Linked DNA regions of Rattus norvegicus. The protein of the gene in region 3 purifies or fractionates together with the protein of the main gene of each other region. This does not show direct contact. Links are inferred from orthologs where the notes say so. Each region holds a gene or a part of one and is shown on either strand. Other genes may lie near its edges.

What was found. The genes of interacting proteins can lie anywhere in the genome.
Region 1: the proteins of Tuba1b (region 3) and Cct6a purify together in Homo sapiens (affinity purification with mass spectrometry; 3 studies listed by BioGRID and IntAct, counting the BioPlex papers as one, with this or other methods). This does not show direct contact. The link is inferred for Rattus norvegicus from reciprocal best matches to the Homo sapiens genes TUBA1B and CCT6A.
Region 2: the proteins of Tuba1b (region 3) and Hdac6 purify together in Homo sapiens (affinity purification with western blotting; 4 studies listed by BioGRID, with this or other methods). This does not show direct contact. The link is inferred for Rattus norvegicus from reciprocal best matches to the Homo sapiens genes TUBA1B and HDAC6.

What each region holds. Positions count from the first base shown.
Region 1 is NC_086030.1:32,515,835-32,520,322, reverse strand, and holds the start of Cct6a (T-complex protein 1 subunit zeta), read left to right. Parts: upstream 1-1,250; 5' UTR 1,251-1,268; coding exon 1,269-1,405; intron 1,406-2,033; coding exon 2,034-2,097; intron 2,098-2,840; coding exon 2,841-2,975; intron 2,976-3,295; exon of another isoform or gene 3,296-3,430; intron 3,431-3,554; coding exon 3,555-3,728; intron 3,729-4,146; coding exon 4,147-4,250; intron 4,251-4,488. UniProt on the Homo sapiens protein: Component of the chaperonin-containing T-complex (TRiC), a molecular chaperone complex that assists the folding of actin, tubulin and other proteins upon ATP hydrolysis.
Region 2 is NC_086039.1:17,221,933-17,226,412, reverse strand, and holds the start of Hdac6 (histone deacetylase 6), read right to left. Parts: upstream 3,239-4,480; 5' UTR 3,068-3,238; exon of another isoform or gene 2,993-3,067; intron 2,906-2,992; exon of another isoform or gene 2,698-2,905; intron 2,692-2,697; exon of another isoform or gene 2,662-2,691; 5' UTR 2,632-2,661; coding exon 2,542-2,631; intron 2,452-2,541; coding exon 2,323-2,451; intron 2,202-2,322; coding exon 2,113-2,201; intron 131-2,112; coding exon 46-130; intron 1-45.
Region 3 is NC_086025.1:131,969,699-131,974,502, reverse strand, and holds the start of Tuba1b (tubulin alpha-1B chain), read left to right. Parts: upstream 1-1,915; 5' UTR 1,916-2,014; coding exon 2,015-2,017; intron 2,018-3,083; coding exon 3,084-3,306; intron 3,307-3,437; coding exon 3,438-3,586; intron 3,587-3,751; coding exon 3,752-4,732; 3' UTR 4,733-4,804. UniProt on the Homo sapiens protein: Tubulin is the major constituent of microtubules, protein filaments consisting of alpha- and beta-tubulin heterodimers. Microtubules grow by the addition of GTP-tubulin dimers to the microtubule end, where a stabilizing cap forms.

The sequences.
Region 1 (4,488 bases), on a different chromosome or scaffold from region 3:
CTGTTTTCTTTGGACAGGGTCTCACTACGTAGCCATGGTTGGCCTGGAACTTGCTATGCACACCAGGCTGGCCTTGAAGGCACAGAGATCTGCTTGCCTCCCATGTTCTGGGATTAAAAGCATATGACACTACGCCTGGCTATGTATCGTTTCTGTAATGAGTATCACACAGATGTTGAGGGGAATGAGAATTTCTTATTCCTATCAAAATGGCAAAACCTTCAGTATAGCTCAGTAGAATACATCCAACGGCATTATGAGTTGTCATCTGTGTGGAGAAGTGACTCAAAAAAATTCAGCACGTATCGTATCTATACCTAAGTGCCCAGACATACTGGCAGGGGAAACATCTATACGCTTAGTTGGTTTTGTTTTTGTTTTTGTTTTTTAATGTTTAAAGGAATGCTTTCAAAGACTGGGTACCACTGTCCAGCCATATTTGAGTTTTTAGCAGGCTTAGTTCATAACACGTTGGAGGTTGAGGCAGGAGGATTGCTACGAGTCCGAAGCTAGACAGTGAGCTGTCTAGCCGGGACACAGAGTGAATCTTTGTTTCATATTTTTAAAAATTAAGAAAACAAAACTGCCTCAATGACCTGGGCCCTAAGAATAGACTGATTCTTGAGGCTCCTCAACGCCCATCGCACCACTCCTAAAGCCATCTAGTACTTTCTGCCTAGCAATAATGCTCCCGTCAAACTCCGGGATTTTTAAATGACCAGGGTAGAGGGGAAGGGTCCATTTTCTGTGTTCCCACATTCACGGATAAAAATAGGCAAGACAAATGAACCTGGGAAACCTCGCGAGAGTGTGAGGGAAGCATCCCGGAGTCCAGTAGCTAGAGACACCCCGCAAATAGAGGCCGACACCTCTGCTTCCTGTCACGCCCAGTCGAGTGCCGAGGTCGAAGCATCCCTCACACACGAGCAGTAGTGCTTTTCCTGCAAAACTGGCCGCGCAACCGCCACGCCGTAATCCTTAAAGCGCGGAACCGCAACGTTGTGAGGCGAGCACAACGGAACCTTAGAATTCGGAGTGCGGATTACCGGAGAACAAGTTTCTCGGATGCGCAATGACGTCGCGACTTGGCGTGTGGGCGGGCCCAGAGAGACCAGCGTCAGGATAAGCCAATCAGCGGGCACCAAGAGAGCCACAATCCAATGGAGGTGCTCTGTGGGCACGCTGGGGGCGGGCCAGATGCGTAAGACTTTTCGAGAAGACCCGCATAGAGCACGTTGTTCTCGGCCTCTCCCTGAGCTCGACCAGCCATGGCGGCGGTGAAGACCCTAAATCCCAAAGCCGAGGTGGCCCGGGCGCAGGCAGCGCTGGCGGTGAACATCAGCGCGGCACGGGGCCTGCAGGATGTTCTGAGGACCAACTTGGGCCCTAAAGGCACCATGAAGATGTAAGCCCGGGCTGGCGGGCGGGAGGGCCTGGCGGGTCAATGGCCGCAAACTCCAGTCGCTGCCTCCAGGCCTTCGCACTAGCATTTTCTACAATGTTTGTGCTGCATCCCATCCAAACCACCCGGATTCGCGCCTTTCGGGGTTGCGGGTTGCACCCACTTCTTTTGGAGGAAGAGGATGGCGTGTGCACCCTTCCTGAACCCAGCCCCCCCGAGTTTACTAGGATGTAGGAATAAGACCCAAATTTCAGGAGGATCTGTTTTTGTTACCTTATTAGCCAGCAAATTAGTGAAGTTCCCTGAGACGTAGCGCTTGGATTTTTAAGTATACTCTTAGTCACGCCTCTCGTATCCGTTCCTCAAATTACGCCTGCTTTGGAGTCCTATTTCATAGCCTCCTTTTGTCCCCTTTACTCCTCTTTCGCTTTCGTGGGTCTTTTCATTATGTAATTAGTCGAGGTAGAGTCTGACTGATAAGTTATGGTTTGTCTGGAACTCCCAGAGATTTGCATGACTTTAAGAGAGGGTTGGGTGATATACATCACCCCTTGGCTGCTTTGTGGAATTCTTACTTGCTTTTTTATTGGAAAGTCACATTCTTGCTCATCAATCCCTGCCCGTTTGACAGGCTTGTATCTGGTGCTGGAGACATCAAACTTACTAAAGATGGCAATGTGCTACTTCATGAAATGGTAAGAAGCTGCCGTGCTAGGTATTAAAAAAAAAAAAAAACTTTTGACCTGTTCCTTCTGGATAAAATTCTTCATCGTACGTTTCAAGCAGAAATATAGGAAGTGCTGTAGTGGGTGAGGAACTCTGTAGAGTCTCAAATGTGTGTTTGGGTCCTTGGTATTTTGTTTTGGTTTTGGCCTACTTTGTATAGTCTGGGCTAAAAAAAAAATAATAACAATAATTGTATAAAAGATCGCTATGTCTGCTTTAGCTAAATCTTGTAACACAGCTTTAATCCCAGTACTCAACTAGATCTCAGGATTCAAAGCCAGACAGAGCTACATATGCAAAAACAGGGCAGTGGGAAAGAAAAGCAAAAATGAATGATCATCTTTTTACTCAACTGCAGGAGAAATGAAAAATCTCCTTACTTTGTTTGAGATGAGTCTCACTGTGTAAGCCTCAGTGATTACCTACTTTCTTTCCCTGAATGCTGGGATTAAAGCTGTGCGCCTCACACCAGGCTACCTTAGAGTTGTTATTTTTGTCCCTGGGATCATATTAAATTGACCCAATTACCCATTTCCCTCACCAGAACTTTCAGGTCCTGTAGTTCACATCCCAGTAAAGGGAATGTCTTGAACATCCAACCAAAATGTAGCCATGCTGTGCAATCTTGAGTGGGACGCTGTAAAAGAAGCCTTTCTTATGTTTTACCCTAGGTAACCATAAGTCATTTAAGTAGTTCTTTTTCTACCTGCAGCAAATTCAACACCCAACAGCCTCTTTGATAGCAAAAGTGGCTACAGCGCAGGATGACATAACCGGCGATGGCACTACATCCAATGTCCTCATCATCGGAGAGCTGCTCAAACAAGCGGACCTCTACATTTCTGAAGTACACAATGATTCATGTTTCTGAGTTTCTGCTTGTTGTTTGGTGGGCTAATGGTGCTAATTGATGTGATGCTAGCTGAGGGCACACCGTAGAACGGTTGAGCTGCTTAGCTCAGAGAGCCTCTGCCTGTCTGTCACTGGTCTGAAATGAATGGGAAAAAATCACCTCTAAGTAATGATTACATATTTTTAATGGACTAGCCTACTCTGGTTTCTTTTTAAAAATATTTCAAAATGATGTGAATTAGTTTCAGATTACCTGTAGACAAGAGAAGCAAGCTCTTACAGCAAAATGTTAGGAGCCAGTTTTGAGTTCGTGGATTGCACAGTGAACACCCAAGTGTGCTCTGTAGTTCCCTTGGCCTTGACTCTGTGCTAGAGTAAAGTCTGTTCTTTTCCTCTGCATTGAAAGGAGTACTGTGTCCTTTTAAATGTATTCAGAAAATCAGCACACCATCTTAATTGTAGTGAATAGGAGGGCCCCAGGGTGTCCCTTGAGATTACTGACTGACTGGGTTTCAGTGGTATCCTGTTGAAGATGCAGGTGTTGGCACTGGCTTTATAGCTGTTTGGATTATAGGGTCTCCATCCCAGAATAATAACCGAAGGCTTTGAAGCTGCAAAGGAAAAGGCACTCCAGTTTTTGGAACAAGTCAAAGTAAGCAAAGAGATGGACAGAGAAACACTCATCGATGTGGCCAGGACATCTCTGCGGACTAAAGTTCATGCTGAGCTTGCAGATGTCTTGACAGAGGTGTGTATCGGCCTCGTGTGGTGCAATGCATGGGGAAAGTCTGATGTAAAAACCTGTTCTAAGCGTGCATGTGTAGGCTTTTCACAGAAAGTCTGTGTAGAGGAAGGGGTTAGGGTTTTCCCTGGGCAGTAATGATCTAATCTGTCTTCAGCTTGGAAAGATGGAGTTAGTAACAGGCCAGGCTTAGGAAGAATTGACACTCCTCCAAAATGTCTCTAGTCATACTTTGGGGAACTGGTCTGCTAGTCCACAATACAGTATGAATTGTAGGGCTGAGATTGGGGACCTGTGCCACCATAAAATAGCACTTGTGGGGTTTCAGAGACAATTTTCTTAAGCCTTTTCCACTCTTCTGAACAACAGCTAAATAAAGTGTGTCAGGCTCTGCACATTAAATTTATTAATGGTTATCTCATAGGCTGTGGTGGACTCCATTTTGGCCATTAGGAAAAAAGATGAGCCCATTGACCTCTTCATGGTTGAGATCATGGAGATGAAGCATAAATCTGAAACTGATACAAGGTAGGCAAGAGAATGCTTTGAAGTGCTTTCTACCACTGAGCTGCGGGCTTCCCCCCAGCCCCCAGTCCTGAGACATGTTCATACTGGATAGGTTGCTGAGTATGGCATTTACTCTAAGTAGTATGCACTGTGGGGATGAGGGAAGGCTGTGCTGTGTTTGTGGTCGGTGTGATTTGAAATGTGAACATGTATTGATACGCTTGACTACAGTGCACATGTATGAGTGCTGTATCTGTGT
Region 2 (4,480 bases), on a different chromosome or scaffold from region 3:
CCTGCCAGTTCCCCACCCACCCTTTGAAGGCTGTGGAGGAGTCACCTGAAAGGACACACAGCGGCCCAGGAGGCCCTCCAGGATCAGCTGCTCTTTGATGGCATGGAGCCGCTCAGGGTTTTCAGGGAAGCTGGGGAGGTGGAGAGGGGGATCACACAGATACACAGACAAAATGCTAGGGAGCACGTCTGCTCTTGTCCCATCTCCTACCCACCCTCCCATAGCTGCTCACCTCTTACCTGCAACATTAGCATTTCCTTACGTCTTCCACTACTTTCCTCCCTGCTAGCATTCATGCGGGTAGTGGGAAACTGCAGTCTGAGCTGTCTGCTCCATCACCTTTACCCGAACCGCCCCCTGCTTCTACACGGATTCCCCCAATAGCCCCTCCTTTACACTGCAGCCAGCCAGTGGTTAGGATTTTTACTCCTCAACACCCTTTTGTAGCTCTGACTCTGTTCCCAGTAAAGCCAAACTTTGCATCACACCTAGAAGGCCCTAAAAAATAAAGCTAGCCCCATCCCTATTCTGGTTCTTTCTAACCACACCCCTCCTCTTTCACCTTGTTTCCTGGGCTATGGTCCTTGGTCTGCAATTAAATCACATTCCCTTCAGCTAGACCTGAGGACTTCAACTGTCTTACATGTCTGGAATACTCTTTTCAGCGATGACTCATGGCTCAGTCCCTTAGCCTCCCCCCTCCGCCCCTTGTATCTTTACTCAAATGTTAGCACTACCTCCCCTAGCTATTGTATTCCAAAGGGAAGCACCCCTTCTACTCAAACTTTCCTCTCCCTCCCACCTGAATTCCTCTGCTCTAACACTGTAGAGGTCACCTCTTGACTACTTCTGAAGGCAACTTTGTTTACGGCTGTATCCTCAACAAATGTACCATAAAGAGAGCCTCTTGACATCGTGAGTTAGTTTCAGGTTAGGATAGGGGAGACGGCTACTATATTTGTAAATATCAGTGTAATGATTAACAAACGATGACGGAGGCTAGTAAAACAGCTAAGATCAGATGTGAGAAAGGTAGTGGCCAGTCAAAGGCTTCTGCGAGTCTCCATAGCTGTGAAAGTTGAAAGAGGAATCAGTCAAGGGTAAAGACCCAAGGCTAGAGGGCGCCTGGCATATTGAAAGAAGAGAAGGCGGCCAGTGTGAGTGAAGTGAACTGAAGCACACAAGGAAAGGCCTGGCTGAACAGGTCACAAAAGGTGACAGGGAGCCAAATCACGTGGAACCTTAGAGGCCAAGATAAAGAATTCCAATTTTACCTTAAGAGCAATGCTCTGGCCTTGAAGTATTTTAAGAAAGGAAATATCTCAAATGTATTTTTTTTTAGGTTTCAATGTGGAGGCTAGAAGCAGGGAACAAGTGGAAAGAAATCAGATAGTGAATATATTTTGAAGACAGAGCCAAAAAGAATAAATAGATTCTTTCGAGAAGTGTATTTCAGCATAAATGTCTCATTCTTTTTTTTTTTTTTGGTTTTTTTTTTTTTCGGAGCTGGGGACCGAACCCAGGGCCTTGCGCTTCCTAGGTAAGCGCTCTACCACTGAGCTAAATCCCCAGCCCCAAATGTCTCATTCTTAAAGAAGGCTCATGCTAGCTAGAGGCCAGGGCCCTCTAACAATCATTTCTAGCCAAGTGTAGTAGTTTATGCCTACAAATATCAGCACTCAAGTGGCTAAGACAGGAGGCTCATGGGAGGTTTGAGGCCGATGACTACATAATGAGTTCCAGGATAGCCCAGGGTACAGCGTCAGATTCTATCTCAAAGCAAAATTTTGCACGTGGATTTCCCAGTCATTTCGTCTTCATTGAACAGTTTATACCACTGTTGGGTGTTTAATGATCTCCCCTCATACTCACCAGTGAGCTGAGAAAGGTCTTTTCTATGTTGGTCACATATATCAGTAACTCTTGGCACACAGTATACACTCCGTTTATTGGCTTAAAAGAAAACCCTTTCCAGAATGATCCCCACTCCCTAAATCACCTGCTTCCAGACTACAGGCTCGAATAACAAAAGATTCACTCTTGTTTGTGGGAAGAAGGGGGCAATTGTGTAAATTTTATAGTTTGGGGACAATTTGGTGATCCCAGGCTCACCTGTCATCCCAAAGGCAGTGGAAGTCATTTAGCTGTTCATCAAATACCAATCCAGTACCAACTGGTACTCTTGTCTCAGAGTTCAGATCCTGCAGGGGAAAGAAATGAAACACAGATCCAATCAGAGGAAACACCTCACACCGTCCATGATGGGGAAAATCACTGTTTTGTTTGGTAAAGAAGGCCAAACTTCAGCCAGGCCTCGCTTACCAGCCCTTGAAGCCCAACGATTAGGTCTTCTTCAGCTGGTTGGCTGAGCTTCTTCATTTTGCCTTTCTTCTTTACCTCCGCTAGATTGGGGCTGGAGTGGGGTACAGCACCCTTCTTCCCACCACGCTTCTGCCAATCAGAGAGAAGAATCAGAAGACATGGATGGCTGGCTTCCCACCCCCCCTTCCACTCCCCAGCAGGGCTGGTCTGGGGCCTCACCAAGGTGGCGCTGGAGTCCTGAAGGGGCGATTGGGGATTGTGCCTACTCTTTCGCTGCCTGGTAGAAGAATCTTGGCCGGTGGAGGTCATGGCTGAAGAGCCTTTGCTCCTGGAACGGCTCTAGCAAAGGTGTCGTTGGTGGTGAGGCGGCTGCAGTGTCCAGAGGACCCCACATCACAGCTCCTTTCCAGGCCCCGCCCCCTATTCTAGAGCGCAGCCTTCACCCCGTTCCATTCCCGAGCCTTCTAAACCCCGCCCCCCCCAAGGCCATCTTCTCCTAGAGGAAACCTGGTCCGGTCCATTCCCCCTGGACCTCGCTGCTTTTACCCGATTCTTTCCTCATTTTGCCTATTCACTAAACGAGGTAAGCCCAGGCTCAGCCAGGCTCTTCTAAGGCCTGCCCTGTCCAGTCACCGCCCCCCACCCCTCCACTTCCCACATCCTTTCATACCTCTAATCTGCGCTCGGAACGCTTGGCTTCTGCAACCTGCCCGCTTCAGCCTAGCTCCCCAGATAAATCACCCACCTTTCTCGTCCGCCAGACCAGGCTGCCGCGGCCTCGGCAGCACCCTCAAAGACTCACTCAACTCCACCTCCTGTAGGGCCGAGCCCGCACCTTCCTCTCTCACAGATCTCGCCCCCAGCTTTCCCCTTTGCCCCGCTGCTCAGAGGACTGCCCCTTTCGAGCAGAATCCTTCAGACCCCACCCCCTTCCCAGACGCCTACCGTTTAACCAAGCTCCCTCAGCCGGTGGCAAGCCTCCGCCCAACTCCCGCCCAGCCATCCACGCCGGCCAATCGTTTTGTCCCTACTTACTGAGCACTGCCCCCTTTCCAAACTCCGCCCTTGACTCGCGCCGCCAAATTCCCGGCGACCTGTGTGGCCCCGGGCCCTCATCCCTTCTTTTCCATTGGGCTGAGCGTTTTAATTTACCCGCCCACCTCCAGCCCACAAAACTGATCTAGTCCGCCCACAACGCTTCGGGTGCAAACCACACCTCTCGCGAGCATGCCCGTGGAACCGGTCCTACTGCGCCTGCGTGGTGTTCTACTCCCAGGTTCGAGACCCGGATCTGCCCCTAGCGCTAACACGCTCCCCACTCCCCACCCCCGCATCCACCGCTGCTGTGGTTCGGATTGCTGCTGCCGCCATTCTCAATTCCAGGCTAGTCATCCTAGAAGACCTACGGATTCGCATCAGTTGTGTTGTGTGGAGCAAATCAAAGAAGCTAGGATGTTTGGAAGAGACGTCTGCTCCCAAGATTCCTGAGCTGCGTTTGGCGATGACGTAGCTCGCGCCAGCGGGTGACTAGTTCGAGATAAACGCTAATAATAGACTTTGGCTGGTGGCAACCCAAATGAGTGTGATGGTAAATGTTGATAATTTCCTGAGCTACTAGTCACTCCGATGGTATTCAAGAAGCAGCCCCAAATGTTAGCTATTAAGACTAGAAGGAGTCTCTGCGAGCTGGTGCAGGGGTGGGGCCTAAGTGGCTCAGTGTGTCAGAAAGCCTGACTTCTGTGAGGCAGTTTGCATTGTTAAGGCTGCTCTGTAGACAACACACAGAGGGACTTAGATTTAGATCTTGGCAGGTCACAGCTCTGTCCTCAGCTTCCTCTCCTGGAAAATTGAGATGCTAGTACCAAGATCAGAATGGATTTGCAAAGGACTGTTTCTCCTGAATGGGAGCTCAACCTACCTGTCCCCCTCTGAGTAATCAAACTAATAGCAAGTGGTAGACTGAGAAGGGAAAATTGTCCCTGTGACTCTTTGAGATGCCCATCCTGTGTCTAAGTATCTAAGTATCAGTCCCACAGGTGACCGAGTTGTCCTGATCTTCCCCCTCTTGAGGACACCATTTCCTAAGGAGCTTTCTGGCTGTGACCAGAAAGAAACCATCTGGGGTTCTGCATCACTGACTAGCAAGTAGAGTGACAGT
Region 3 (4,804 bases):
GAAAGAGAAGAAACAAAGAAAATTAGTTCAACGTCATTCTTGGCTAAGTAAGTTTCAAAGCAAATTGGAACATTTGAGACAAAAGAAATATCAGTAACCACATCAAAAATTCCTTCAGCCAGGCAGAGTGGTGGGTCTCTGTAATCCTAGCATTTGGAGGGTAGAGACAGAGGATGAGGAAGAGTTCTAAGGCGACCTCTCCATGACTTGAGGTCACCTGGGTTATATGAAACACTGTCTCAAAACAAAACTGGAAACCTTTTTTTTTTTTTCTTTTCTTTTTTTCGGAGCTGGGGACCGAACCCAGGGCCTTGCGCTTGCTAGGTAAGAAGCCTTCTTTTGACAAGGAAATTAGATCATGTTTTCCGCAAATCTTTTACTTATTTTGGTGTGTGTGTGTTATGTGTGTGTGTGTGTGTGTGTGTATACATAGCACATAGGTGAGCATCATATGATTGAGTGATCAACTTTAGTTTTGTTTTAAATTTATCACACCTACCAATTTATATATGGGTGTATTTCTGTTTTCCCCCTTGTTTGCTTGTTTTTGTTACATGGTTTCACTGACCTGGAACTAATCCAGAACGGCTATTCTGGCTAGCCTCTGAGCCTGTGTCTCTGCAGCACTGGCAATACAAGCACCAGCCACCATGACTGTCCCCCCACGCCCTCTGGGCTCTGGGGAATCAAGCTCCGGTCCTAACTGAACCATTTCCTAGACCCCCAAATTACCCACAAAACTGCTGCTGAAGCTTCTAGACCCTCCTCTTCTAACAGGGGGCATCCTGCTCTCAACTCCTGTCTGCTCCTTCTCCTAATTAACTGGCTACAGCATTCCTTTACTGTGACTCCTGGAATTGTGTTTAGCTGCACTATGACAAGAATCCCAGGGCACCTGACTAAGAGGCGCCTGAGGATCTGAAAGGGGGAGTTCTCAGGCTGCACAGCTGCAAAGGATCTGTGCTCTGTGCCGCCTCTGCCGGGAGGACATTTTGAATAGTTTAGTAATTGCAATGTGAGGGCAATTTTAAAGCCACACGTTAGCGCCGATCACCTTATGAATAGTAGTTTATGGTCCTGAAATAAATTCGGGGGTAGTTTATAATCCGATATGCAACACAGCGCCAAGCAATCCTTTTAGGAAACTTACATAGCACAAGAAATCCCTAATATTCTTCTGTGAGACATTTTCCTTCTAGTTTCGCCTCACTTGTTCCATTTAGCTACTGCCTCAAATGTTTAGAAATCTTTTCAAAGAGTCCTTACTTAGGTTATTCCATCCAGTTGATAGCTTAAGGCTAAAGATGGGGCCTACTCTGCCCTTACTTCAATAAGCTCAATATTTCATGCTTAGCTACTACCACCCTTTCCTTGGGTGATTGAAAGTGCTTCCAGTACTTGATACCCTTAGTATCGAGGACGAGCAATGTATCAAGTATGGCGACTCGCCTTCAAAGGGGGCTTTCACCGCAGGTAAGTTCAAAATGCACAGGCGTTAAAGGAAGCAAGGAGCAAGATAAAACTCACTCATCCAGTGTGACCACATGAATAGAATCAACCGAGCTATCTGGACCACAAGCATTTTAGGATGCTTCTTCACCTTTAAAACTGCGGGCCGGCCAGGTTCCAGGGTTCGCCCACATAGTGTGAATCTCCCCTAGTTACCTCTGCCGCAGCTCCCGCTGCCGCCCCGCATTGCAGCGGCGCGCCCCTGGCTGCAGCAAGGCGCGCGCCCCGGCGGCGGCGGCCCCGCCCCGCGGGCCCACGCAGGGAGGGGGCTCGGAGCCGAGCCCGCCTCTGCGGCGGTCAGGCCGGGCGCCCAATGGACGCGGCTGGTCCGGGGAGGGACCGTGACCAGCGGTCGCGCCCGCCCCTCCTCAGCTGCTACTTAAGAGGCTCCGGCGCGGGCGCCTCCGCCTCATTGCGTTACTTACCTCGACTCTTAGTTGTCGGGAACGGTAACCGGGACCCGGTGTCTGCTTCTATCACCCTCGCCTTCTAACCCGTAGCTATCATGGTGAGTGGTTTGGTCTGGAGAGGGGAGATGGAGGGGAGGGAGGAGCTCGCCCGGGGCTATGATCGAGGGGTGCGCGTGCGGAAGAGCTTGGGCCCCATGATGCTGGGGACGTCCGTGGTTTGGGGCAGAAGGGAAGCACTCGGATCTCTCTGGAATCCGGTCTCCAATCATCACACCCTGCGCAAAACCTGCAGCGTGGCGCTTTCAGACTGCTGTCTTCCCGCGGGGGCCCTTCCCCCATCCCTGACTTGCTTGCTGCTTTTCGGGCGCGCGCGGCTTTTCCCCGCCCTCACTTCCTCTTTAGCGCGAAAAGGCGGGGGCGGGAAGGCGCCGGAGACAAAGGACGCATGCGCAACCGTTACATTCCCGCCTGAGAGCGGCGGGAAGAGCCTCCGCAGTGTGCGCGTGCGCGCTGAGGCACTGCGGGTTTAATTCGTTTGGGTGTGTCTCCAGTTGGATCCCTGTTTTAAGCTGAAGTTCAAACGTAGGATCTCTACCATCCTAAACCAGCTACTGCCGAGTTGCAATCTCAGCCACGACCTTTTTGCTTTTAATGAAAGCAATAAGGAATTTGGGCAATATTCCCTCAAATCTCCAGTCAGAAATTTGGGTGGGACCAGATGATGACATTGACGTGTTTTGAGGGAACAGAAATCGGATCGCAGCAGTTGATAATCCCCTGCTGAACCAAGACAGATGTGGAGGAGCTGAACTCTGTGCCTACAAATAGAGGAAGCTGAAAGCCAACAGCCTCCAGGCTGCTCAAGGCGCATGCTCTCAAAATTGCTCCTTTACCACCTGCGGCAGAGCCCAGCCCCTTGTCCCTGCAGCGAGGCACCTCCCTGCCCTGCTCCAGCTGAGTGCTTCCTGTGCCTAGAATTGTTCTGAAATCTGGACACCAGAGCAAAAGTAGAGCTGAGACGGTAGATGAACGGCCTTTGTATATTGGTATTCAGAAAGGGAAAGCCGTAACCACGCCTAAGTGGCCGAATTTGTCACATTGTGCCACTAAGAACTCAATTGCTTGCAACATTGCTAATATTCTTTTCTTCCTTCCCTTCCACAGCGTGAGTGCATCTCCATCCACGTCGGCCAGGCTGGTGTCCAGATCGGCAATGCCTGCTGGGAGCTCTACTGCCTGGAACATGGCATCCAGCCTGATGGCCAGATGCCAAGCGACAAGACCATTGGGGGAGGAGATGACTCCTTCAACACCTTCTTCAGTGAGACAGGAGCTGGCAAGCACGTGCCCCGGGCGGTGTTCGTAGACCTGGAACCCACAGTTATTGGTAAGTGGACTGGGGGCTTCCCTGGGGCAGTCCTTCTTGGTCACATACTCAGAATGTCTCTCCAGACCCGGAAGGGTGAGTGAGCTTGTGGGGTCCTTGGTGGTGATGGCTGACGTCTTCTCCTTTTTCAGATGAAGTTCGCACTGGCACCTACCGCCAGCTCTTCCACCCAGAGCAGCTCATCACAGGCAAGGAAGATGCTGCCAATAACTATGCCCGTGGCCACTACACCATTGGCAAGGAGATCATTGACCTTGTCTTGGACAGAATTCGCAAGCTGGTAAATACCCTATGTGGATGGGTTTAAAATGCAGTGGGAGGGTGTCTTGGTATCTGTCAAAATGTGTCAGGTCTTTCCTATCAGGTAGAGATGGCTCACAGTCTAAAGGAATTGAAATAGTGTATGCCCTGGTAATAAGACATTATATGTCCTTTTCTCCCACAGGCTGACCAGTGCACGGGTCTCCAGGGCTTCTTGGTTTTCCACAGCTTTGGTGGGGGAACTGGCTCTGGGTTCACCTCCCTGCTGATGGAGAGGCTCTCTGTCGACTACGGAAAGAAGTCCAAGCTGGAGTTCTCCATTTACCCAGCCCCCCAGGTTTCCACTGCTGTGGTTGAGCCCTACAATTCCATCCTCACCACCCACACCACCCTGGAGCACTCTGATTGTGCCTTCATGGTAGACAATGAGGCCATCTATGACATCTGTCGTAGAAACCTCGACATTGAGCGCCCAACCTACACTAACCTTAACCGCCTTATTAGCCAGATTGTGTCTTCCATCACTGCTTCCCTCAGATTTGATGGGGCCCTGAATGTTGATCTGACAGAATTCCAGACCAACCTGGTGCCCTACCCTCGCATCCACTTCCCTCTGGCCACTTATGCCCCTGTCATCTCTGCTGAGAAAGCCTACCATGAACAGCTTTCTGTAGCAGAGATCACCAATGCCTGCTTTGAGCCAGCCAACCAGATGGTGAAATGTGACCCTCGCCATGGTAAATACATGGCTTGCTGCCTGCTGTACCGTGGTGATGTGGTCCCCAAAGATGTCAATGCTGCCATTGCCACCATCAAGACCAAGCGCAGCATCCAGTTTGTGGACTGGTGCCCCACTGGCTTCAAGGTTGGCATTAATTACCAGCCTCCCACTGTGGTACCTGGTGGCGACCTGGCCAAGGTCCAGAGAGCTGTGTGTATGCTGAGCAACACCACAGCCATTGCTGAGGCTTGGGCTCGCCTGGATCACAAGTTTGATCTGATGTATGCCAAGCGTGCCTTTGTGCACTGGTATGTGGGTGAGGGCATGGAGGAGGGAGAGTTCTCTGAAGCCCGTGAGGACATGGCTGCCCTAGAGAAGGATTATGAGGAGGTTGGTGTGGATTCTGTGGAGGGTGAGGGTGAGGAAGAAGGAGAGGAATACTAGTTCATTCCTGCAGTCCCTGTATCATGTCAAACTCAACTCCAGCTCCAGCACTAGCTGCAGGCATCGATGCTT